Danio rerio: one gene and its partners. The protein of the gene in region 7 purifies or fractionates together with the protein of the main gene of each other region. This does not show direct contact. Links are inferred from orthologs where the notes say so. Each region holds a gene or a part of one and is shown on either strand. Other genes may lie near its edges.

Region 1 (3,959 bases), on a different chromosome or scaffold from region 7:
GTTGATGGCCAGTAGTCTAGATATTTATTTAGAGTAGGGGTACCATGTTTTTCATGATTTATTTATATAAATGGCAAATTTGAAATGTTAGTTGTCTCTGTGAGTGTATACTGCAAATGAAATTACCCTACAGGGACAAATAAATTAACCAACTAGCTAGCTAACTAACTAACCTAACTATATACACCCTCTCTGGGGAAGAAAATATTGTCCATCACTATCCACCACTGTACATGACATTTCAAACATGACCTCTTTTGAATAGATGGTAATGAAATGCAAAAACCTACTGGGCAAGTCTTCGGTTAAATGATTGATGTGGGATATTTGCATTTTTTTTTATTTATATAATTGAGGGTCAATAGTTTTGCAAAGCTAAATTACTGTACAAATCAAAGAGAAATTAGATGTGTTGTGCTTTCAAATACAAATCTAAAAGACTGTAAATGATTGCAAGTTTCCGTTCTCGTTGAATGAAATGATAAAATGATCCACTGCTGCTGTTTTGGGAGTTGTTAAAAATGGTACAAAATAAATATATAAAATAATTTATACATATTAATTTTTTTAAAGGGATAGTGATGAAATGAAATTATGTTCTCATTTACTTACCCTTCACTTGTTTATTTCTTCTGCTGAACACCAAAGAAGATGTTTGGAAACTGGTAACCATTTCTATAATATGATGAAAAACAAATACAATAGAAGCCAATAGTTACCGGTGTCCAACATTTTCGAAACAACAATACCAGTTTTAACATACTTCCAAATATCTTATTTTTGTTTTCAAATGAAAAAAAAGAATCTCATTAAGGTTAGAAACCCCTCAAGGGTGACTATATAGACAATTTTGAGGAATCTAAACAAAAGACAATGGTCCTTACGTATTTCCTGTTTTACATTTTAAATTTCTATAGCTTCCGAGAATCTAAAAAGAGCCACATATTGATAAATAATGTTATAAGAACTGTTTTAACATTAAGTTATGGTTGAATTGCCTCTTGATACAGCTGTGAAACAGTTTTATAACAAGCAGGAAATGTTTATGGGCCAACGACATCATCAAACGGAAATAGTTTATAGTAAGTACATTTTTATTTTTGGATAAACTATTTCTTTAATTTCAGACCTCCACTCCAGCTCAACTGAGGATTCACGGCTCTATTCCCCGCCTGTCCAGCGAGTGGCGCAGCGGGCAGATCCGCTCTTCTCTCCTGCCGTGCGGTCAAAGTGCGCTCGTAGTCCTTCCCTCTTTCGGCGGCAAGGCGTGCGAGTGTGCTGCATTAGCTTATACTATTCAAATAAACAATTTTTGTGTCTGAAAATACTACTTAAGTAATCCAGTCATGGTAAGTTCATCGTTATCTCTTTTATTTGTATCCAAACCTTCAGTTTGGCGAAAGAGCGTAGACGTTTTCATTCATAAATACGCTGATAATGCGGCTAGGTGTTAGCATCAGGAACGCAGACTGGACGTTGTTTTCAGTCATTTTCAGTGTTGTGTTAGAAATGTTGAGCTTTGCTGATAAATGTTCCTCCTTGTTCTCTTACAACCTAGTCGGTGACTCCCAAAATGCGATTAAATGATATATGTGTGGGAAAACTAAAGATAAAAACTAACGTTAAAGGAGTTTTTTCTGCTATTACTGATGCTTATTTGCAGCTAATTCTGGTGGAAACCAAAAACAATTAATGCTGTAAATTATTATATTGTTTTATTGAAGTTATACAATATATATATATATATATATATATATATATATATATTGTGTGTATGCATGCGTGTTTTGATTTTTTATACCACAAACTACAGTAATGAGAATTTGTCATTACAATTTAAAATGAAGTCATATCAATTGTATCTGTTTTTGTTTTGTTTTTATTATTTGTTTATTTTGCTTGTGTAAATTCATGCGGCTAGTGTCAAAACTTTTTACTAAAAGTTATAACAAGCTGATGAAGAAAAAAAACTAAAACCCAAAATGTAAATCTTTTTTTTTTTCTATTTGGTCAAATATGACTGAGCATCACCGGAGGCTATGCTAAAGTTTCTTCTAAGCTTTTCACTCACTTGAGAATAAAATCATCAACATTTGTAGTATTTTACTTCTTCAGGAACAATATTATGTTGACATGGAATTGTTTGAAAATGACACTTAGGGATTGATTTCGAATGATGTTAATTGTGTAACACTGATCTTTTCCCTCAGAGTTTGCCGCTGAACCCAAAGCCCTTTCTGAATGGTCTGACAGGAAAGCCTGTGATGGTGAAGCTGAAGTGGGGCATGGAGTACAAGGGCTACCTGGTGTCAGTGGATGGGTACATGAACATGCAGGTATGTTTAAAAGAGTTAACGATTCTATGAAAATCCAGCTCCTTAGTAGGAAGAAAATTTAAACTATTCTTTTTAACTCGAGACATACCGTTGTATATGCCATTATGGAGATGCTAGACACACACAGACATCTGCTTAAAGCAGAAGGTGGCCAAAAATGTAAATATTGTAATGGCAACCTAGCTGTCAAGCATATACACTTCATATGAAAACCTCAATATTTAGCAATTCTGAGTGTGCCTTACACAAGTGAGTGGGCTTTATAAACACTCCTTGACACACTTGCACTAGTTTTGTCTATTTGTACCAGACCCTCTCTTTCAACCACTTCATAGCTCTATAAAACATTGTGCATTTCTGAGATTGGTTCACACAGGTGAGTGGGCTTGACAAACCACCTGTAGAAATGCTAATCTCTCTAAATGCAAGTTTTTCTAGATCTCTTACAAGGACTTAATAAAAAAAAAAAAACAATGTTTACCTGTGACTGTACCACAAATTGTTTAACTGGTCATTTCCTTCAACCTTAAATGATCTCTTTTGCACAATATTGTTCTGTCTTATATAAAAGTACTTGTATAGTCTGTCTAAGGTTATGCGTAAAGTTTTTTTTTTTTTTTACTATTTATAGACCGTTTCAATGTGGTGATGCCATTGGCCCATGAATATTTCCTGCTTGTTGTCAATTCATATCTGTAACAAGAGGCGATTCATTCATAACTTATATAACAGCTATTATAACAGCTATTGTAACTATCAATATGTGGGACTTTTTGGACTCTCAGAAGCTACTGAAAATACAGTAGGACCATTGTTATTGTTTACATCCCTCAAAAAGGTCTTTAGTACATGTATAGTTAATTACTGCTCTGCTATGTAGTTATGTATAGGTTTAAAATCGCTCTTATGTCTATAAGGGTTGTTTATATTTATGATAGTTTATTTATGTTGCACTGTGGTCCTGCAAGACATTTCACTGTGTGTCCACAGATGTAGCGGAATGACAATAAAACTCAACTCGAGTTGATACTTTTGCAATGCCCTGTTTAAAATGTTTTAGATAACCATTTTTATCTGGAGAGTTCTTAAAGCAGGGATGTCAAACTTTGTTCCTGGAGGGCCGCAGTCTTGCATAGTTTAGTTGCAACCCTGCTTCCCCACACTACAGTTTGAGCATGTGAAATTCTGCCGTTTGGTGCTGCAAAAAGGGGCGGGATTAAACAAGCTGATTACGATTTGACCATATTTAAAATTTCTGTACAGAGAGGTCGTGTTTTGATCTTCTATTGGTCAGAGTTCACCAAGCTTTAAGTTTCCAACACATCGAACTGCGAAACTTGTGGCACGAGCTTGCGTTTCCTGTCTAAGGCATTTACTTGCTAATAAATGGAAGTCTATAGGGGTGCAGTGTGCCTGCCGCTTTACCTGTAGGTTTCAAACGACTGTAGGACTCAATTAGTTTGATCAGGTGTGGTTAATTAGGGTTGGAATTAAACTGTCCAGAGCTTTTGGTCCTCCAGGAATTGAGTTTGACACCTGTGCCTTAAAGCAACTATTTAAAAAAAAAAAAAAAAAAAGTGAATCTTTCGAAGATGGTAGAATTAAACTATTTTAAGTTTTTAT
Region 2 (3,111 bases), on a different chromosome or scaffold from region 7:
GGTAAGCGTGTGACTTCTGATAGATTAATGTTTTGAATGGAGTTCATCCCAAATTCAAGGTATGTAGTAGCAAATACTGTTCTGTGTCTTCATGGTTCTCATTGTCTGTGTCTTTTTTTCCCTCTGTGCTCCCCTTTATTCCCTTCCTCTCAATCTCCACTTTTCTATTGCTCATCTATCAACTCTTCTAGCTGCTTATAAGCATGCGGATGGCAAAAAGATCGATGGTCGTAGAGTGCTTGTTGATGTTGAAAGAGGACGAACGGTAAAAGGATGGCGCCCCCGGCGACTTGGTAAGCATTTCTATTTTCCCCCCACTCTTGTCACATGTTTGTTTCTAGGCCTGGAGGTCCAGTTTGAAGTATTGAAAACATTTGATTCAGTTTTTCTAAAATGTCCCAAGACAAGAATGGATGTTGTTCAATAGTTTAGGACGACTTTGGTCCTAAACTATTGAAAAATGGGTTTTTAACGCCTTTAAATGTTGGCTTCTGTAGTTTGGTTAGGAATGGCTTTAGTATGCCTCAAAGAGCTTTCTTTGAGGTTTTTAGTTTCAAGTGAATCATTCTCTACCAAAAGCAAGAATGACCGCTAATCTTGTAGCAAATAGGTTTGATAAATCAAGGCAGGCAAAATCTGGCTCAAGGTCTACTGTCCTGCAGAGTTCAGCTCCATCTTTGATCTTTTGAACAATATTATTGCATGGGTATTATCAGTGGGCTTCGAGGACCTTGCCTATCCCAAGCATGGCCTTTGGGTCCCAAAACTTTCTACTTGAACCAAATTTCTTTTCTTCACTCTCCAGGTGGGGGTCTTGGTGGCACAAGGCGAGGAGGCGCAGATGTCAACATCAAGCACTCTGGCAGAGACGACACATCTCGTTATGATGACCGACCAATTGGAAGGTACGCTGTGTGAGAGGCGGTTAGAATTTTAGTTGGTGCTTTTTCATCTTCTGAACTTACGCGGCCTTACCTCTGTCTTATTTTGCAGTGATCGCGATCGGGATCGTGGTGAACGCCGTGAACGCAGTCGGGAACGTGATCGAGACAAGGAACGTGGAGAACGCAGACGTTCTCGGTCCAGAGAGAGACGCAGGCACACTAGGTCTCATGAGCGTGAGAGGGCCGCTGCAGGGGATGAGGCTGGGGGCAGCAGCCGACGACGAGAGAGGGAAAGAGAACGAGGTGGTGCTGGAGCTGGAGAAAGCAGAGAGAGGAGTAGAGACCGGGATCGAGATAGAGACCGCAAGAGAAGGAGCAGGAGCAGGGATAGGAAGAGAGACAGGGAAAGAGGAAAAGGTGCAGAAGGAGGGGAGGAAGGCATGGGCGGGCTAGTTGATGGCATGATGCCTGAAGGGGGAGATAGGGGCATAGAGGACCCCTTGGGTGGTGAACCAGGGCGAGGTGAGGAGGGAGGACCTGAAGGAGAGGAAAGGGGGAGGGATCGAGACAAAGACAGGGAAAGAGATCGTGATAGGAAGCGCAGCCATCGAGATAAAGATAGAGAAAGGGATCGGGACAGAAGGCGGGACAGGGATAGAGATCGTGACCATAAGCGAGACCGTGGAGATCGGGACCGTGGGGAGCGAAGGGAAGATCGACACATTACCTCCTCCGGAGATCATGAGGGTTTGGGTAATGGAGGTGAAGAAGGTGAAGAGCCAGTGCCACCGCAATCAGAAGAAGGTTCACAGGATGGGATGAGGATGATGATGATGGATCAGGATTCCATGCAGTCGGGAGAGGGCTATGCCTCCAATGAAAATGGGTACAGGATGGAGGCCCAGGGTGATGAGTACTAAAAGTGCCATCGTTGTGTGAATGATTGTAGGTTATCTAGATGTAATGTTGATTTGATCCACAAATATCTTCAACCATTATTTAATGCCTCCACCCTTTGCTTGCACTGTCCACAGCGTGTGAGTATTATACTGTACTAATAACAGCTGTCACTGAGAGAGCTTAGTGTCTCCCTGGTAAGAAGCGTCCTATTGTTAAAATAAACATTATGTAGCTAAACTGTGAGCTTTTTTATGTTTTTAGCTCTGGTAAACCTATTTCTGGGGCTTGGACTACAGTAAATAATTAGCTTAATGATGCATTTGAATTCCCTGTCTAACATTATTTTGATATCAAATGACCATAACTGGGAGGGGATTTCTTGACTGAAGCACTGTATTATAATACAGTGTAGTTTCAGTCAAAGATAAGTATTTGTTTGTTGGAGTTATTGGGGTTGTTTTAGTACTGTTATGTCCATTTTCATAGATGTTTGCGGAGTACAATAGTAACGTTTCATGGGTTAGTACATTTATCTGTAACATTCTTTTTGTATTGGTCTTCCCTTTAATTTCTCTGCTACTTTATTTTCATCATGTACATTTTGTTTCATATTTGGTCCTGTACATGGATCGTTTACAAATCGTACAGTTGCCCCTTATTTTACAGCAGGAACAAAGGCAGAAAATATGACACCTGCTTTTAAATGGGAATGTCTGCCATGGTCTCACAGAAATTGCTCTTAATTTTATGTATAGGTTTTTTCAGTTTGTATCTGGTCGTATTTGTTCTGCTTTAAATTCTTGAATAAATACTTTTTTATTGCCGAAGTAGTGTTTTGGTTATTTATTTAAATCTTACGGTGTTAAACGAGCTTGTGGGTTGCAAAACGACTTGAACTCGCGCCTGTGACGTGTGGTCTTGCGTCATCCAGTAAGCTGCCGCTCTGTACGAGCGCTCAGACCCGCGCATCTCGCCATCAGAGCTGGATCGTCTGCGCCTTCAATATTGTTTTTACATACTTAAAGCTCATCTCAAATTTTGTTTTGAAATATTAATTTGGTATAACGTCGCTGAAAGCGGTTCAGTCCTCCACTGCAGCAGTCTTCATGATGTCATCGTATTATCATACGGGGAAAGAGGTGGACATGGCGGCGATGACAGAACCGCTGTGCTTGGAAAGAGGTAATTTACTCCGTTCTCATTGTTGTGTGCAAGCCACGGAGAGTGGCGTTGTGCAAATATTAAAGCTGATAGCGTTGCTAACGCACTCGCTGGTTCTTGTGTTTGTTAAACAAGCAGCAGCAGTGACCACTGAGAGGCGCACAGT
Region 3 (4,148 bases), on a different chromosome or scaffold from region 7:
GTGCTTACAGTAGATCTTCATCTCTAATGGCCTTTAGCAAGATTTTCAGAGATGCAATTATGTAAGATTTGCAAAAAGCTGTGATTAATGAGTCATAAGCACTGCCTTTAATTTGGATGACGTTTAAATAGACATTGCAATGAGAACATAAAACATCTATCTATCTGTCTGTCTATCTATCTATCTATCTATCTGTCTGTCTGTCTGTCCGTCCGTCCGTCCGTCCATCCATCCATCCATCTATCATCTATCTGTCTGTCTATCTATCTATCTATCTATCTATCTATCTATCTATCTATCTATCTATCTATCTATCTGTCTGTCTGTCTGTCTGTCTGTCTGTCTCTCTGTCTATCTATCTATCTATCTATCTATCTATCTATCTATCTATCTATCTATATCTGTCTGTCTGTCTGTCTATCTATCTATCTATCTATCTATCTATCTATCTATCTATCTATCTATCTATCTATCTATCTATCTATCTATCTATCTATATCTGTCTGTCTGTCTGTCTGTCTGTCTGTCTGTCTGTCTGTCTGTCTGTCTATCTATCTATCTATCTATCTATCTATCTATCTATCTATCTATCTATCTACGTGCCTGCCTGCCTGCACATCCCTTCAGAATATTCAAAGAACTCCGTGAGTTTTTCCAGAAATTGCTCTAAGTCATTTAAAACAGGTGTGTCCCATGACAGTGAGGTTATCATGACATCAGAGCACACGTAGACATACCAGTGAGGCTTGCACGCAAAATTATCATTGAGATGTCTGAATGTAAAGCATTTTTACCGCAACCAGCCCATGTGTAATATTTATCCTGACCGCTCTATTCAAATAGTAATTATATCCTGTGCAGATGTTACTTACCTACAGGGGGCGCTTCGTGGCTCAGAAAGTTTACCTTATATATATTTTAAATAGCGTAAAGCTTATTGATTTATGGCACTGATTATTATTATTATTGTTATTATTATTAGTATTATTATTATTATTAACATGTTATTTCCTCACATTTGCCATAACGTTAGTTATATAACCATCCGTTAACAACACTGATAAACGAAGTGTGTCAAAGTAGTAACTTTCCTCGTTTGTAGTTCGTACTGAGAAAGCGTCTTCATATTAACGCTAGAATCTTTCCTATCCCAGATATTACATATTAGATAATGGAATTTAAACATAATACAGCACATGTTAGCACTTTATTTGTACATACACGTCCATTGGTAGAAAAACGGGATGTACGCTTTCTCAACCGACGCTACGACAGGTCACGTGATCCAGTTCTGTCCAATCCCCGTGGCGTCGCGGGCCGGAAATGATGGCCGGGCTTTCACACTAGTGCTTCCATTATGTTCCTGTAGCGTTAGCGAGGGCTCGAGTTTAGCTTACACACACACACACTCACACACACACACCTCGTGTAGCTGGTGGCACAGCACTGTAGCTGGGAGTGCAGCTCCGCAATCATCCCCGATACGCAATCTGGCCGCAAAGTACTAGTGTGTGACGTTGATTTGCTAGCTTTGCAAGGTAATGATTGTTTTTCTTTGACTAGCCAAGCTTGTGTTAGCCAGCACACCTGTTCTGATTTTTCATATGTACATCTCTTATTTGATACTTGAATTTTAAGAAATACGTAGCTATGTTTCAGTACAATTGCTTATGTGTCCTGTCATCTTTTTAGGTCCTCAGTAAGTATGGCCATGAGACAGACCCCTCTCACCTGCTCTGGTCACACCAGACCTGTTGTGGATCTGGCGTTCAGTGGAATAACTCCTTATGGATATTTCCTCATTAGTGCTTGTAAAGGTTTGTATGTACTTGGACTTAAAACCAACTCTTCACAGTAAACACAACCTCATTGCAGGGCATTGTTGGTTTTATAGTTGCACATTCATGCAGTGACCACTTGTGACATGCTCCCTATATTGTTCACCATGGTACTTTGAATATTCGGCTTGAAATCACATTTAATTATGACTTCAAAACAACATTATCACGTTACTTGATTGTGAACAATGTTGTGCTTTGATAGTCATTGGCTGACAATATGATTTTGCTATTTATAACTTGCTAATAATGTTTTTCTGAAATAAAATTAAGGAGAAAGTTTAAATATAAAACCATTTTTACCTACATTTGCAGGGCAGTGTGCTTAAAAAGTAAGCATTTCTTAAAATAAGTGTGTGCATATGTCATGTATCTGTCAAATAAGTTTGTTTTTGTGTTCAAATTTTGCAGATGGCAAACCTATGTTGCGCCAGGGTGACACAGGGGACTGGATTGGGACGTTCTTGGGTCACAAGGGTGCTGTCTGGGGTGCCACCTTGAATACAGAAGCTACAAAAGCAGCAACGGCCGCAGCAGATTTTACAGCGTAAGTGTTAAAGGAATAAAAGATGAACTGTTATTGTTGAAACATGAGTTTACTTTCTATATTTCTTATGAATCTGACAGGAAGGTATGGGATGCTGTCACTGGAGACGAGGTCCTCACCCTGGCGCACAAGCACATTGTGAAGTCTGTAAACTTTACACAGGTATTCCATGCTGATGTATAGAACGAGTTCTGCAAAATTGTGTAAGCCAAGAGTTATGGCAGATGAAATCTTGACTTTGTAATCTTGGAATATGATATACATTTCAAATTATATTTATGCACAACGTGGGTTTTTTAAATTATTATAATTTTATATTAGTTTTACTGTATTTTTGAATAAGTAAATGCAACTTTGGCATAACAGGCTAAATGTATTTATTTTAAACTACTTGTATGAACAAATGAATAAGTCATTAATTTATTCTAGTATCTAATTAAAACATTTTGCAACAATTTTAGTAAGATATAATACTGATCTATATTGAGATATTCAGACTATTTATGCAACACTTGGTTTATGAAATGATCTTACTTAAAATAGTTAACCTGTGGTCATTCAAAACCACGGGTTAACAGAATGCTGGCTCAATTTGCTTCATGATTCTCATAATTTACTTCGGCAATCAGTAAAGTTTCATAACTAAATGTTTCAGTTAGCTTCATTTTCAAATGTGAACCCTGACAGGAGAAACAGCATGTCACTGGGACTTTCCTTATTAAATTTAAACCACAATAGATAAAGTAATAAATAAAATGAAATAAAGTTTGGAACAATAGTAACCCATGTGTTCAATCACTCAGTACATTTACAAGGATACCAATGCAATTTTAATACGATTAAGACAATACTCTGATTAAGACTCTACCATATAAACAGAAATTTTTCATTAATTTAATCAGATTAAGGTCATAATCAAACTCTACAGAAATGTAATTAAGACGTGGCATATGCCGGTTTTAGTCACATCATTGACACTGTAAAGACATGTAAACGCAATCAAACTATTACCGTTGTGTAGGGTTTTTGCCACATTTTGCAATGGGACAGTCTATATACACACGGCTGTTTGACACTATTCTCTGCACTATCAAGTCAGTAGGACCACAGACATCTACAGTGTACATTGCGAAATGCTGAGTTTTTTTTTTAAAAAACCAATATCCAAAATCCAAAATCTCGTTTGTCATGGGGGCATGCATGAATTATTCCTGAATGAAAGTGCCAAACTGCAGTTAAAGTCAACAAAATAAAAATAAAACTCCCGAAATTACATGAAACTCCAGAGCAAATGTGGATAGCACGATGACGCAACAACGTTAATCAAACTATGTGCTATAGCATGTAAAAAGGGATCATGAAAGCAATATTCAAAAAGTAACTCATGTAAACACCTTAAACATTTTATTGTCTTATTCAGATCAAGGCAAATCATTTGATCACCGATTACTACATGTAAATGAAGTCACTTTCTGTAAACTTGCCAGAGTAATTTCATTTAGGAGTTTTTACCAGCATGTGTTGAACCAACAGGACAGTAACTATCTCCTGACTGGAGGAAATGATAAAGTACTGCGCATCTATGACCTCAGCAAACCTGAAGCAGGTATTGAAAGTTAAATAATAGTTTATTTGCTTTGATGATAGCCGCTTCCTTTCATAAATGCAAACCTGGTTTTAAAAAGTAACTTTTGTAATGCAGAACCCCAGGAGATTGCAGGCCACACTTCTGCCATAAAGAAAGCACTGTGGTGTAACAATGA
Region 4 (4,239 bases), on a different chromosome or scaffold from region 7:
AAACCCACGCGAACGCAGGGAGAACATGCAAACTCCACACAGAAACGGCAACTGATCCAGCTGAGGCTCGAACCAGCGACCTTCTTGCTGTGAGGCGACAGCACTACCTACTGCTCCACTGCGTTGCCTGTTTCAAACTTATAAGAAAAATAAATTAATTGAAGGAGAGGGTTATAGACTTTAATTTTGCCTTGTGTATGTGAAACGTCCCAAGAAAAATAATCAACTTCAAAGCATTACCGAGTGTATCATGGCCAGTTTTCAGTTTAAAAAAGAATCATGCATTCATCCAAGTTAATTATATATAATTTTATTATAAACTGAGTAAAAAATTAACCCTGAAACCAGTTTCCAAAAGTCGTCAATAAATGTACAAGCACAAAATAGATGTAGGAGACTTTCAGGTTTAAAACATTCTGATGAAATGTCTTTTTAAAATGTATTAATGAACAGATGGCAGGGATACCTGTGTAATATTTTCTTTATCTTTTTTAAATACATTTACTGTATTACAGAAAGATACATTTGGTGCACATCATTTACAATAATAATCATTAGATTATTTACAATGGTGCCAATAAAGAATGAAAAAGAAGAAAAAAGAAAGAGGAACAACCAACAGAAATCAAACAAAAAACAAAGAAATATCAATAGGCCATCTGATCTGAGGGTAGATATATAGATTTAAAAAAAATTGAAAGTGAAGAGGGCAAAATAAGAAGCAGCAATTTAGAGATTTAATTGATTATAAAGGTCGTGCAAATGGTATGCTTTGAGTACTTTCTTGTTAAGTGAATCTGGAACTGTAAGTAATTTTTAATCTCTTGTAAATGCTAGAAATGTTAGCTTGCAACTTGACATTGACAATATACATTTATGAACATAAAATCTGCATAAAGAAAAAGGTTTATTTTAAAGTAGACATTAAACTTTGTTATAAAAAACACCAAAAATGACTTTTGTAGTCACAGAAAAATGCTGTAAAGTAATATTTGGACAATTGCATGACCAAAATAAGCGAGGAGTTTCAGCGTTAATCTGACAAAAGGAGATATTTGTATCAAAGTATGATCCAAATCTTTTCTTTAAGACATTTTTGATAGGATAAATGTTATGTAATAATTTAAAAGATATTTCCTTTACCTTTTTAGTAAGGAAAAACTTGATGTATGGACCATATATTTCCCCAGTTTAAATAATCAAAAAGACCGTTTCAATGTGAGATAGCAGAAGGGGTAGAGTTTTCAAAAAACACAGCTCTTATTTGATAATTTTTCCTTTTTATTTAACCTTATTGGGGAGTAAATAAAAAATATTCTACTTGTACAATATTTCTCCACCATTTTATGTTGTTACCCTTCACATTTCTCCTAAACAACAGATGTCGCTACACATCTTTCCATCTGTAAGCGAGTGAATAAAAGAACCGTCGCGTCTATTGATCGTCATCCTCGTGTCCAATGTTTTCAAAATGGAGAGGTTGACATGCACGTAATAGTGAGCATGTTGATTTATTTTGATGGTCGTGCATAAAAAATAAGGCAAAGAGATGAAGTCAGACGCCGAGGAGTTGATGCCCAGACTCCTGCCAGTGGATTCCTGCGACACAGAGGAATATACTCTTACCGAGCCGCCTAGAAACCCTCAGGAATATCTCAGATTTGTCCAGTAAGTCTTTCGGCTATTGAGGTAAAGTTGGTTTAATATTCGCACATTCAGACATTCTCATCAATAATACAGTTTTAGAAAAGTATTATTTGCAAATTGTAAAGAAGGAGATCATATTAGCTGCCAATGACTACTAAAGTACAACATTATTCAGTCAATTAAACAGTACTTATGTTGTTAAACCCTACTGGAAAAAAAAAACAGCTTAAACCAGCCTAGGCTGGTTGGCTGGTTTTAGCTGGTTGACCAGGCTTGTTTGAGAGGGGTTATGGCCATTTGCAGGCTGGTTTCCAGTCATTTCCAGCCTGGTCTTAGCTGGGCAGGCTGGGAGATGACCAGCTAAAAACACACACACACACACACACACACACACACACACACACACACACACACACACACACACACACACTCACAGAGAGAGCGCTGTGGGGGAAATCAGAGCACCTAGAGGAAACCCACACCAACACGGGGAGAACATTAAAGCTCCACGCAGAAATGCCTTATGGCCCAGCCAGGACTCGAACCAGTGACCTTCTTGCTGTAAGGTGACAGTGGTTACCACTAAGCCACCGTGCCGCCCGTCAAGATTGTGGCTCTATGCTGGTTTCATACCTAGAACCTCATAGTTTGTTACCCAATGCTTAGCACGTTGAACTAATTGATCAAATTGGTAAAACTAGTGATCCGAAGGACAGTGGCACTAACAAAATATGATTTGGGGCTACACTTTAATGCTTTTGGCTAATAAATTACTATTACACAGAATAACTATTGTAAATATTGTTTGTAAAAAATGTTATTTTACACATTCTAATGCAACAGGAAAAACAAAACTACTTTAAAGCTGTATTAGCTTTTTCTTGTTGATGAAACTATGCTTGACTTTGACTCTTGTTCGATGAACATTATAGTAGTCAGCATTTTACAAGTGGATTGAAAACGCTTTTCGAAATTGTTCTAAGACAAGAGTGGGTGTTGTTCAATGGTTTTCGGGCAACTTTAATAAAAAGACCCTGTTTAAATATCGACTACTGTATATTTTACAGGAGGGAAGCATCTCTGTGTCCAGATGTTGTTGTGGCACAAATTGATCCAAAGAAGCTGAAGAAACAGTCAGTGAATGTGTCTGTAAGTGGGAAAAGTGAACTGAATAATCTGTTATAAATTCTGTAATGTGTAAAATAACTGTGCCATTATTTTTGCCTCAGATCACAGGTTGTCTTGCTGCACCTGAGGGTTTTTCACCCAGCTTTAAATGGCAGCAGCAACAAGTCAGCAGATTTTCAGAAGTCAGACAGGTGTTCAATATTAACCACATTAGTTTCTTTAAAGGGATAGTTCACACACAAAAAATGAATATTTACTCATTATTTATGAATGTTACTATTATTCAAGTGGTTCCAAATTTTTTCAAGTTTATTTTTTCTGTTGAGCAAATCCATTCATTCATTTTCTGCCGCTTTTCCGGGCCGGGTCGCTGGAGCAGCAGTCTTAGGAGACAACCCCAGATTTCCCTCTCCCGAGACAGTTCCTCCAGCTCCTCCGGGGGGGATCCCGAGGCGTTCCAAGGCCAGCCAAGAGACATAGTCCCTCTAGCGTGTCATGGGTCTTCCATGAGGCATCCTCCTGGTGGGACATGCCTGGAACACCTCCCTAGGTAGGCGTCCAGGAGTCATCCCAAACAGATGCCTGAACCACCTCAGCTGAGTTCTCTCGATGTGGAGGAGCAGCGGCTCTACTCAGAGCTCCTCCCGGGTGACAGAGCTCCTAACCCTATCCATAAGAGTGCGCCCTGCCACCCTTCGAAGGAAACTCATTTCGGCCACTTGTAACCGTGATCTTGTCCTTTCTGTCATGACCCAAAGCTCATGACCATAGGTGAGAGTAGGAACGTAGATTGACCGGTAAATCGAAAGCTTTGCCTTTCGGCTCAGCTCCTGTTGAGCACAAAAGAAGATATTATAAAGAATGTTAGAAACCTGACTTCCATAGTAAAAAAAAACAAATATTATGGAAGTCAATGGTTACTGCTTTCCAACATTTTTCAGAATAGATTCTTTTGTGTTTAGCAGATGAAAAAAAAAACAGGTTTTACAGGTTTTCAGCTTTGTTCAAAATAAAGGATGAGTAAATGATGACAACTTTCATTTAATATTTCATTCTGTCATCATTTACTCACCCTTTATTTTGAAGAAAGCTGAAAACCTGTAACTATTGACTTAGTAGTAGTATTTAGAATTTGTTGTTACTACAGTATTTCTTTTTCCTAATATGGAAGTCAGTGGTTACAGGTTTTCAACACTCTTCAAAATGCCTCTCAACAGAGGAAAGAAATTCATAAAGGTTGATAACCACTTGAGGGGGAGTAAATACAGAGTAAATGTTCTTTTTGGTTGAACTATCCCTTTAAGTACTTTTAGACTTTTTAGAATTTGTTTTTGTAATTTGTTTCATCCATATATTTCTTGTTTCAGAGTGTGAACAAGCATCGTCAGCATTGGAAAGCTCAGTTTTTGGATGATAATGTTGTCATGGTAGGACTTTATTTATTATTGGGCTTAAATTAAATCT
Region 5 (2,849 bases), on a different chromosome or scaffold from region 7:
CTTGTTTATCAGATGTCTCCTCGCTGCTCATCTTCACCGTGTTCACCGGGGATGATATTTACACACGCTGTGAAGTTTGTCATACCTCCGCGGATGCGCACTTCCGTTCATTTGCATGGAGCGACCTAACTGGCATCTGTTTAAAGATTTAAAGTTTACATGAATCTTTGACGCTGACATAAGAAAAATAGCATTTTAAAAATTACTTTAAATAATCCGGGAGCAGTTTCATTTAGTGAACCACCTTAGCGTCTAGTTCAGGTTCCTTTCCATGCTACTGTGAATATTCTGTCTAATACAGCATATATGACTTCAAAACAACATTAGCAGTATTTCATTGACTGTGTGTGAAAAAGTTGTACTTTGATAGTCATTGGCTGTCTGCTAATATGATTTCCCAATGTAGAATATAAAACCAACTTTACCTCAATGTAAATATTATAGGGACTGTGTCACATGTTGTCTCTGAATGAATGTGTCAATTTAAATTTTACTTCTCCTCAATTTAAATATGTTACTATTGCAGTGTGAATGGATGTAGCTCAGTGGTAGAGCGCATGCTTTGCATGTATGAGGTCCTGGGTTCAATCCCCAGTATCTCCAAGAGCCTTTCGAGGTTCTGTCCACAGACGATAAACAGGGTTAAGAAAGTGGTGTATGGTCATAGGTTTAGTTGCAGCGTCTTCAATTGTCTTATCACACTAACTGTACAAAAAAAAAAAAAAAAAAAAACTACTAACACTTCCCTTCTTAGACTTTACAGACCTGAAACTTGCCTTTAGTACTTATTCATTGTTGCTCTTAGTTGTGTAAATTGCTTCCTTGTCCTCATTTGTAAGTCGCTTTGGATAAAAGCGTCTGCTAAATGACTAAATGTAAATGTAAATGAAGAGATAAAATTGCTTTAAAAAAAAAAGTATGCAAAAGTAAGCCTATATTAACATGGCTATTTTTTTAAAGTACTCATGGCTAGGGTTTTATACTTGCATATTCATTCAGTGACAACTTGTGACATGGTTTTCTACATTAATTACCTTTCAACTTTGAATATTCGGTCTGAAATCGCATCCAAGTAGGACTTAACATCATTAGCACTATTTTATTGTCTGTAAACAATGTTGTACTTTGATATTCATTGACTGCTAATATAACTTCCCCATTTAGAATTAAGAAATAATGCTTTTCTTAAATTATTATTATTATTATTAAGAGGAAATCCAAATATGCAAATATAAAATCACCTCAATTGTAATTTGGCCGATGTAAATTTTAGCCCTTTATGCAGACATGCTAACTGTTGAAATGTCTCATCAGGAGTTTATTAAACAAGCCCAAATCTGAGATGACTCCAGAGGAGCTCCAGAAGCGAGAGGAGGAAGAGTTTAACACCGGTCCACTTTCAGTGCTCACCCAGTCTGTGAAAAACAACACACAGGTCCTCATCAACTGCCGCAACAACAAGAAGCTGCTGGGCAGAGTCAAAGCATTCGACAGGTAACTCGTGTCATTTTGAGTGATAAATAATGCAAGCAGGCTTTGTTTACATTAGTGCTGCACAATATTTCGTGTCAGCATCAATATCCCAATGTTCGCATCTGCAATAGTCACATTTCAAAATATGCAAGAATTTTGTTGACCAAGAGCGACAGAATTGTGTTTAATTACTGTATTTATACAGGATTTAGGCAAATAAAGCATTTCTTATCATTTTTGGCTTGTTTCTAGTCCAAATGTTTACATTTCAAAGCTAAAAAAATAACAAAGTAAAAGTGAAACAAAACTATATTTACTTGATTCAAAAATTTTAGATATTTCCACTAGTAATGAGACAAAGCAAAGCAAGAAAATTATTTTTTTTTACATTGTGATTAATTTCTGTGAATTTAATTTCTGTACCTGAATACTGTTAGACTCTATTGAAAACCATCAAACAGTGCTATTTAAATTCTCTTCTAAAACTGTATCCCATATTGCAACATTTATTGCAAATTAAAATCTCACACTATCAAATTTTTCTAAAATTGTGCAGCCCTAGTTTACATGCACAGGCTTGTGTTGATATGATTAAACTTTTGAATATCTGTGTTGCAATAGTTTTCTGAACAAAGTATCTGCAGAGTAATAGTTGCATTTTGTGTCAACATAACCTATGCTTGTGTCTCCTGTTTGCTATAGGATTTGCTAAGATGTGTATTTTATTTGCTACAAATAAATTATATTGAATTATTTAATGATTTTGCTGAATATTTTCCCAATACTACCATGTAATATATAAACATAATATAAATTATTACTATATAATATCTAAACTATTACTATATAATATATAAACTATTACAATATAATATATGAACTTTTAATATAAGATATTTAATATATAAACATATTATTAACTTTTCCTATATAATATATAAACCATGAATATATAAGATATATAATATATAAACTAGGCTTGGGCGGTATCCAACCGGCGGTATACCGTCAAATCTCCTCCCTATTTTAACCAGGTATCCGGTATTACCAAGCATAATAAACAAAATTACGACGTAAGGCTCAGACAGCGTCACCAAATTGTGCCTAAACCATTCAGAAACTGATACCGTATATGCGACCTTAGGTTTGCGGTCACCTGTTTGTCTTGTTTGTATTCTTCTGCGTAGGACGCTCTTTCTTCAAACACACACACACACACACACACAGAGATAGAGAGAAAAAGAAGAGAGAGAACCAAGCAACACCCAGCAACTCTCTTTCTCTCTCTCTCTCTCTCTCTCTCTCTCTCTCTCTCTCATTCACACACACACAAACACACACCGAGAGAGAGCACCAAGTGACACACGCAGATTGCA
Region 6 (3,500 bases), on a different chromosome or scaffold from region 7:
TCACGTGATGCTGGGATGCCCATTCAGGGCCAGCCGTGCTTTTGCAAATATGCCCAGGGAGCAGACAGTGTGGAGCCCATGTTCAAACACCTCAAGTACACTTATCAAGGGTTACAGTTGGTGGTGGTCATCTTACCCGGCAAGACTCCTGTTTATGGTAATTTAATTATTATTATTATTATTTTTTTTTTCATCTCATATCTTTAGTGTATTTTTTACACACTCTAAATGCTAAAATTCTTACAGCTGAGGTGAAGCGTGTTGGAGACACTGTTCTCGGCATGGCCACGCAGTGTGTCCAGGTGAAGAATGTGCAGAAGACCACACCTCAAACCCTTTCTAACCTCTGCCTCAAGATTAACGTCAAACTGGGTGGAGTCAACAACATTCTTCTTCCACAGGGCAGGTGAGGGCAGCTGTTACAAATGCCTTTGACATGCAGAAAGCTTGAGGCAATTTCTTGTTGTCCTTTACGTCCTTTGATGCTTTCCCATGAAACTCAAAGGGTTAGTTCACTCGAAAATATGTAGTCTGTCACCCATTGATCATTCCAAACCTGTAAGACTTGGGTTATTCTTGGGAACAAAATTATCTCACTTTATTTTGTTAAGCAATTATATTCATTTATAGCAGCTCAGTCAATATGAATTGAGTTCACTACACCATATTGACCTTTTTCGGTCTAAGTTACTTTGACTTGCAATGGAAGGACAGAGATCTCAACAGATTTCATTACGTCTTAATTTGTGTTTCAAAGTTTAACCAAAAGTCGAATAGTTTGGGAACGATTTAAGGATGAGTTAATGATAAGAGAATTAAGATTTTTGTTTGAACCATCCTTTCAAAATGACAGAATAATACAGCTATTTTCTTTTTATTTACTTTTTATTTTATTTTTTTTTTACTTTAATTTTTTTGCACTCGTTATTATATATATTTTTTTAATTATTTATTTATTTATTTATTTATTTTTGTCTTAGGCCCTTGGTGTTCCAGCAACCAGTTATCTTTTTGGGTGCAGATGTGACTCATCCACCAGCTGGAGATGGCAAGAAACCCTCAATTGCTGCTGTAAGCCTGGCAAACCTCTGATATTTTAAGGCTGATAATGCTCATTGCACAATGCCAAGCAGTGCTAATACCACAAATGTGACCAATTTCTACTTGAAGTACACGATTTAAGGCTTTTAATGGGTTTCAGAAATGTTTTTAAGTATAATAATTTTACACGTACGGCATTTAGGTCGTTGGCAGTATGGATGCCCACCCAAGCAGATACTGTGCCACAGTGCGGGTGCAGCAGCACCGGCAGGACATCATTCAGGATCTGGCAACCATGGTCAGAGAGTTACTCATCCAGTTCTACAAATCCACACGCTTCAAACCAACACGCATCATCTACTACAGAGACGGCATCTCTGAAGGCCAGTTTAACCAGGTAAGCTGCAGGACAAGATCTCTTGTTAATACATGCTAAGTAGTACTGCAATGTATTATTTGAAGGCGACCTATTATGCAAAAATTTATTTTGTAAGGGGTTTGTGTGGTAACAGTCTGTGAATAAAACCAGCTTCTAATGATAAAAATTTATTAATTCTATTTTTTTTTAATAATCACACCTAAGAAAACTGCAGAAACACTTTGACTGACAGTCTCCCTTTGTATGTAACACTTTAGTTGACAGTCTCCCTTTATATGTGCCATCAGAGGGGAAAGCCCCGCCCACTAGTAAGATCTTACCCTCATTAGCATAGGACTTTAGTCTTTTTTTTTATCTGCTACTATGCTGATACATTTGTAGCTCCGCCCTCTTTTGAAAACAACACAATCTAATTTGAATTTAAAGCGACAGCCACATAATCAGCACAATTATGACCAAAGCTTAAAAGGGGCAGTTTCAAACATTATTTGTGTGGTATTTTAATCTGAAAACTTTGCACACATTCTCCAAAGACATCAGAGACTTATTTTACTTCTTGTAAAAAGGGGCACAATGCCTCCCCTTTTATTGTTGTCATCTTGTTTCGTCCTTGCAGGTTCTACAGCATGAGCTGCTGGCTATTCGTGAGGCCTGCATCAAGCTGGAGAAAGATTATCAGCCGGGTATCACCTTCGTTGTAGTACAGAAGAGACACCACACCAGACTCTTCTGCATGGACAGGAACGAACGGGTTTGTTATTATGCATCTAATCTCCATACAGGTGTCACTGGAGGGAATCACACATTTACACACAGATGATAACTTTCTGCATTCAAAGTGTAACAGTGGGAAAATAATATAGACCGTTTAGAGGGATGTAAACAAAAACAGTGGTCCCAACGTATTTCCTGTTTTACATTTTTCTATCGCTTTCGAGAATCTAAAAAGAGCCACATATTGATAAATAATGTCATGATAGCTGTTTTAGCATGACGTTATGATTGAATCGTCTCTTGTTACAGTTATGAAATAGTTTTATAACAAGCAGGAAATGTTCATGGGCCAATGAACCAAGTACCAAGTAAAGCTCTAGTTTTTTTTTAAATGTGTGCATTAGGTTTGTCATCCACATGCAGAACACTTTATGTGCAGCTTGCATGCGTTTTGAATATTTTGTTGCACTACTAAATTGTTCCACAAGGTGTCAACACTAAATCAGGCTGTTTCACAGTCAAAAATATGGAGGCAAAACTAATGAAGACATTTTTTTATCCCTCATGAATTTTTGTTGTGACAAAGCACATGCATTGGACATTAGCAAATCTTTCAAGTGCCTATGTGTTTAGCATGTGTTTTTCCAATCTACTAAATGGAGTAGACTACTAATATACTACTACTTTAAAAAAAATCTGTTTTAAAAACAGTAAAATAAATACTTTTTAAGGAAACATGGAAACCAAAGAGACATACAATACAAATGTCAAAGTCCACCGATTACAATCTTACTTTCGTATTTATTGTTGATAAAATGTTGCTATATATTTGTTAAGGGTTACATATCAAAGATCAACAGGCTCCAGATATATATAAAATAAAGTACCACAATAAAATTAAAACAGTAGATTTCTTCTCAACCATTTACCCCTGTATGCAGAAATTTAGTAGGCTTGTTGTCTCAATGAAAATGTCAGTACTTCCATGTCATACACCTCTTTTACAATATCATGCCATTCACCTACAGATGGAGGATCTTCCTTGAGCCATTTCTTTGTAATTACCTTTGTAATTACCTTTTTTCTAGTTATTAGAAGTATGTTAAGAAGGTGTGCATCATTTTTGGTATTACTGAAGAGTAAATTCCCAGGTACATAGTTTTAAAATTACATTCCAGATTCAGCCCCATTATTGCATTTATCTCTTTGTTCAAATCTTGCCAATAGGTGTGTATCACAATCCCAAAATATGTGGAAATGATCTGCCATTACATTTCCACATTTTCTCCAGCATTCAAAAGTTTTTTTATCTTTAGTTTGAAAGTATTTTATTTAAGCAAGTAGAATATACTTTGAAAGGCTACAA
Region 7 (4,278 bases):
GTTTTTACTACTTACTTTGTTATTACTTACATTATGGTTATTACTATTGTTATTATTTGTCTTTTTTGGCTTTTCACTGTAGGGCTAGGTGATTAATCGTAAAATAATCGGAATCGATGTCCAGAGCCTATAACGATCTAATTTTTCCAGGTAATTTTTTTCAATTACTTTCCCTACCATGTGTGGAGTCATGTGACCCCACTCTGTTATGGCTGATTTATACTTCTGCATTGAATGCACAGGTATGGTGTAGGCTGGCGCAGCCTTCACTTGGTCACATACCCGCACATCTCTCAAAAATTTAACTACATGCTACATCTTTGCATTCCATTGATGATGATTGGAAGCTGTGCCAGACATGCCTTGAGACGGCATATTTTTATTACAATAAAATGACCATTTACATTAAAATATTTGTTTACAGAAGGTTCAAGAAATGCACTGTTTACAATATTATTTACAGGATATAAAATTAGATTTTATTTAAAAGTAAAACTGCTTACTCTCAACTTTTTTTTAGCCATTGTGTGATTTAATTTCTTTTGTTCAACGTTGATGTTCAATAAATTATCATATATAGTCAGTAATGTGTGTTTTCCTTCAATTATTTTAAAATCAAGTAATGCAGCCTTCATTCAGAAATCTCTTGTAATATGTGAGCATATTTACTGTACAAAACTTGTCAGTGAATTATGAAGGCAAAAAATAAAGTGAACAAATAAAACAATCTTTTAGTAATTGTAATTGAGTTAAATGTTCAATTGGGCCAAATCGCCCAGCCCTAATTCACAGTATTGTCTGGATTATGGAGTGTTAAAAAGGAAACCCAAATTTTACTCAGTGAAAGCCTTTTATTCAAAAAATGTAAGAAAGAATTGTGAGGCTTTATTTACCATTCAAATTATTGTGCTGCAAAAGTATGCTAATAAGCACATATTTGATCAAACTGAACAATTTAGAAAATTTGCAATACAAAAATAATACAATTCATTATGTAATTACGTTAACCAGCGGGGCAGAGTGTGGTGATAATGAAGTGTTTTTACCCTATAACGTTAAAAAATACCCCTAAAGCATTTATTAATCCTAGTTAACATTAAAATATCTAAATATTATTAAATAAAAGTAAATATACAAACAGACATCAACGCAGATTAATAAATACCTTTTGTATAAGTTAGCTTACTTAATACTACCTACCATGTGTTCCCAAAATAAATCAACATTACATTAAAATGATCGGTTGTTGTGAAATATTAGTCAAGCACGTTTTTCTGGTGGTTTTTATCTCATATAGTTTTTGCTGTGTGATGGTCGCACGCAGACACTCAGAACTCAAATTTTAAAACATTACAGAAGACATAGTGCCAGCCAATCAGCGGCTTCCTTTCAAACAGCCGCTTCCAATCAGGTTGCACCTTTCTCACGCTGCACGCACCGGCACGCAGCCAACAGCTGGATGAACGTCAACAACTCACCGCAAACAAAACAGATAAGTGAAGAAGAACCGAGCCGGTGAAACGCGCACTAATTTGTTCATAACGCGAAGATACAATAATTACATACACGTACATATCAAAGAATACTGTTAACACAGAACCACACCTGTGCTGTGAAAGTAAGTGCCGATTAAGATCAAGAAAATCTCACCAGTTCATTTCTTAGACGATGAAGGTTGCTCTTCATGTCATCGATATCCGTTTTCCCTTCCTCCATGTTTGCCGACATAACGTTACAGAATGAAATTATTTTAATGCTACAAGCAGGTTGATTGATTTAAATCTCCATCCAATTTGATGTCGCTGCCGCTAAGATCTTTGGTTTCCTTCGCTTTAGTTTCAGGTCAGTGATGAAGTATAACCAGCGTTATGTTAATATAATATTCCTTCTCTAGCCTCTGACACTCTTCACATTACATATTCAGGAGACATCCGTGCCCCCGAGCAGAAGGAGGCACTGATGTGGTGTAAAAGAGCTGATGATTTGAGGGAAAGTCCCTGAATGGGATTAACTAACGGTTGTCCGTCAACAAAACAACTCTTGCTTTCGCTCCAGTGGTCAGTTCAGGAAGAATAGAGGGTTCGTGCATAACAATAGAGGGACAATCGTACAACTTTAACTGTGCTTTGATTGGATTTTAGACGGGGGGAAGAGCCTTAGTCCGTGTTAGGAAACTGTGATTTTGTTAAATATACATGTATATATATATATATATATATATATATATATATATATATATATATATATATATATATATATATATATATATATACCATACATTTACATATGTTTAAGATTAATTCATTAATTAATTATTTTAGAGATGGATTCTTTTTATAAAATGTGTATTATTGACAAAAGATCCTATAGACAATTTCAATGAGGTCATGTTATTGGCCCTGTGGATCATGAGCATTTCCTGCTTGTTATCGAACTAATTCAGAACTGTAACAAGAAGCAATTCAATCATAGCTTAATGTTAAAACAGCTATCATAACTTTATCAATATGTAACTTGTTTAGAATTCTTGGAAGCTGCATAAATAAAAAATGGTTGGACCATTGGACCAAATAAAAATGGTTGGGACCATTGTTTTTGATTACATCCCTTAATATGGTATTGAAACAGCTTATTCAAGGAATTACTCAGTTTAAATGAATTTTTTTTGGTATTCTGTTACAACATTGTTATTGCCATATGCATTCTTTACAAAAGATAGCCTTTGTAAACCTATTAGGTTTCCTGTATATAGGTTTCCTGTTAAGTTGTTTTCATATTTTTCAATATTATAATGTATTAATTTAGAAGAAGACACCCACTAAAATGTGTTATTTACCAAAAAAATGTTTGTCAGGTCAATTTAAAACAAAAATCATGTTGCATGAAACATATTAAAAGACTATTTCAGAATCACACAGTGCAGCCCCAAATAGTTTTGTTAGATGTCATATTAAATCTTTGTTTCAGTTACATCTGTGTTTTACCAATTCAGTAATTAATAAAGTAATTATATTACAATTTAGCACGGTCGCTTATTCATTTATATATTTAATTAAGAATACTACAGGTCACAATAATTACCGTTTTACAAATTCTATAAAGTTTTACAGTGCCCAGCATAATTGATTATTCCCCATCTTGAAACTGAATATTTTTCTCCATTTCTCAGTGAATATAAGTAATATATTTTGGTGCATTTGAACAAAACAGGTGTATTAAACAGAAATATTTAATAAAACTGTATTTTAGTCACCAAACATCTTTTGATATAGAAAGATAATACAATTACAGTTTTTCTCAGTGGCTTTGGCGCATTTCTCAAAACACTTTTTACATTTGCACAACAGTTAATGCGTTTCTCAAAACAATTAGTACAAACTGAAAAACCTGGTTGATAACCTGCAAAAGCGCGTCACATGCTCAAATAGATGTGTTTCAAATCATCAAATGGATAGCTCATTCCTCAAAAGCAAGTATTGATGTCAATGAAAGTGTCAGTGTCATCAAGATGAAGTCCTGACACCATTGTTTATGAACAAGATAGTCAAATGGCTTTGTCATGATTTCATTATGACAGTTTACTCTGTAACTGTTTTCCAAAGTCAGATTTTGGTGACACTGAAAATCCTCAAGAAAGCACTGCATTTGCACAGCCATTTGAAGACTACAGTAATCCATGCATTTAGTGAGGTATCTGAGTACAACACACTGAATATGCATGATTCACTTTTTTACTGCATGTGCTAATATCTAATTCTAACTCTATTTATTCAACGCATTGTGCAAAAGAATAAATACACTCTTATTCACAACAAACAAACTTTCTTTGGGTAGAGCTCTGAGCCTCTGCAAAACTGTAAACAATATTGCAGTACATATTGGTACTGAAGCTACAACATACATACTGTAAGTCTGTAAATCATTATTGAAATTGATCAATTTAGAAGACATTTTCAGGAAAAAAAAAAAGATTTAAAGATTTGAATAAAGTTTGCTTGACAGATTTTGACTAGTTCAATGTTCTTGTATGTAATGACACAAGTAATGAAATGAGTCTGTTATGGAATGACTATTCAGCATTCACAAGTTCAGTTTATTTTGACTGACATGACATAAGCAAATGATAATGATATAAACAGCAGAGAGTTGTATGAAAGCAATTGTAGCATGTCCAAAAGCTCTTGCAATTTGTTGGAAGGAATTAGAAACTGCTAATATCATGTGCACAAATCTCTAATTGTTTTTGAGAAACTCATTAACTGTTGTTCAATAGTGTAA

What was found.
Region 1: the proteins of ddx20 (region 7) and snrpf purify together in Homo sapiens (affinity purification with mass spectrometry; 5 studies listed by BioGRID and IntAct, counting the BioPlex papers as one, with this or other methods). This does not show direct contact. The link is inferred for Danio rerio from reciprocal best matches to the Homo sapiens genes DDX20 and SNRPF.
Region 2: the proteins of ddx20 (region 7) and snrnp70 purify together in Homo sapiens (affinity purification with mass spectrometry; 4 studies listed by BioGRID and IntAct, counting the BioPlex papers as one, with this or other methods). This does not show direct contact. The link is inferred for Danio rerio from reciprocal best matches to the Homo sapiens genes DDX20 and SNRNP70.
Region 3: the proteins of ddx20 (region 7) and strap purify together in Homo sapiens (affinity purification with mass spectrometry; 3 studies listed by BioGRID and IntAct, counting the BioPlex papers as one, with this or other methods). This does not show direct contact. The link is inferred for Danio rerio from reciprocal best matches to the Homo sapiens genes DDX20 and STRAP.
Region 4: the proteins of ddx20 (region 7) and gemin2 purify together in Homo sapiens (affinity purification with mass spectrometry; 6 studies listed by BioGRID and IntAct, counting the BioPlex papers as one, with this or other methods). This does not show direct contact. The link is inferred for Danio rerio from reciprocal best matches to the Homo sapiens genes DDX20 and GEMIN2.
Region 5: the proteins of ddx20 (region 7) and snrpd2 purify together in Homo sapiens (affinity purification with mass spectrometry; 3 studies listed by BioGRID and IntAct, with this or other methods). This does not show direct contact. The link is inferred for Danio rerio from reciprocal best matches to the Homo sapiens genes DDX20 and SNRPD2.
Region 6: the proteins of ddx20 (region 7) and ago2 purify together in Homo sapiens (affinity purification with western blotting; 3 studies listed by BioGRID). This does not show direct contact. The link is inferred for Danio rerio from reciprocal best matches to the Homo sapiens genes DDX20 and AGO2.

The regions. Positions count from the first base shown.
Region 1 is NC_133182.1:19,364,171-19,368,129, forward strand, and holds the start of snrpf (small nuclear ribonucleoprotein F), read left to right. Parts: upstream 1-1,159; 5' UTR 1,160-1,346; coding exon 1,347-1,349; intron 1,350-2,210; coding exon 2,211-2,336; intron 2,337-3,959. UniProt on the Homo sapiens protein: Plays a role in pre-mRNA splicing as a core component of the spliceosomal U1, U2, U4 and U5 small nuclear ribonucleoproteins (snRNPs), the building blocks of the spliceosome.
Region 2 is NC_133178.1:30,722,021-30,725,131, forward strand, and holds the end of snrnp70 (U1 small nuclear ribonucleoprotein 70 kDa), read left to right. Parts: exon of another isoform or gene 1-191; coding exon 192-293; intron 294-805; coding exon 806-905; intron 906-993; coding exon 994-1,804; 3' UTR 1,805-2,611; downstream 2,612-3,111. Other genes in the region: lin7b (protein lin-7 homolog B), read left to right, coding at 2,930-2,966. UniProt on the Homo sapiens protein: Component of the spliceosomal U1 snRNP, which is essential for recognition of the pre-mRNA 5' splice-site and the subsequent assembly of the spliceosome. SNRNP70 binds to the loop I region of U1-snRNA.
Region 3 is NC_133179.1:17,468,584-17,472,731, reverse strand, and holds the start of strap (serine-threonine kinase receptor-associated protein), read left to right. Parts: upstream 1-1,348; 5' UTR 1,349-1,538; intron 1,539-1,692; 5' UTR 1,693-1,705; coding exon 1,706-1,817; intron 1,818-2,249; coding exon 2,250-2,385; intron 2,386-2,465; coding exon 2,466-2,547; intron 2,548-3,918; coding exon 3,919-3,991; intron 3,992-4,087; coding exon 4,088-4,148. UniProt on the Homo sapiens protein: The SMN complex catalyzes the assembly of small nuclear ribonucleoproteins (snRNPs), the building blocks of the spliceosome, and thereby plays an important role in the splicing of cellular pre-mRNAs.
Region 4 is NC_133192.1:14,292,407-14,296,645, forward strand, and holds the start of gemin2 (gem-associated protein 2), read left to right. Parts: upstream 1-1,439; 5' UTR 1,440-1,549; coding exon 1,550-1,668; exon of another isoform or gene 1,669-1,689; intron 1,690-2,714; coding exon 2,715-2,796; intron 2,797-2,876; coding exon 2,877-2,966; intron 2,967-4,142; coding exon 4,143-4,202; intron 4,203-4,239. UniProt on the Homo sapiens protein: The SMN complex catalyzes the assembly of small nuclear ribonucleoproteins (snRNPs), the building blocks of the spliceosome, and thereby plays an important role in the splicing of cellular pre-mRNAs.
Region 5 is NC_133193.1:43,804,206-43,807,054, reverse strand, and holds part of snrpd2 (small nuclear ribonucleoprotein Sm D2), read left to right. Parts: intron 1-533; exon of another isoform or gene 534-603; intron 604-1,314; coding exon 1,315-1,494; intron 1,495-2,849. UniProt on the Homo sapiens protein: Plays a role in pre-mRNA splicing as a core component of the spliceosomal U1, U2, U4 and U5 small nuclear ribonucleoproteins (snRNPs), the building blocks of the spliceosome.
Region 6 is NC_133194.1:44,214,482-44,217,981, forward strand, and holds part of ago2 (protein argonaute-2), read left to right. Parts: coding exon 1-157; intron 158-246; coding exon 247-406; intron 407-980; coding exon 981-1,071; intron 1,072-1,243; coding exon 1,244-1,438; intron 1,439-2,036; coding exon 2,037-2,171; intron 2,172-3,500.
Region 7 is NC_133183.1:30,195,673-30,199,950, reverse strand, and holds the start of ddx20 (probable ATP-dependent RNA helicase DDX20), read left to right. Parts: upstream 1-1,478; 5' UTR 1,479-1,650; coding exon of another isoform or gene 1,651-1,728; 5' UTR 1,729-1,796; coding exon of another isoform or gene 1,797-1,842; exon of another isoform or gene 1,843-2,003; intron 2,004-4,278. Other genes in the region: PAK4-inhibitor INKA2, read right to left, coding at 1,651-1,728.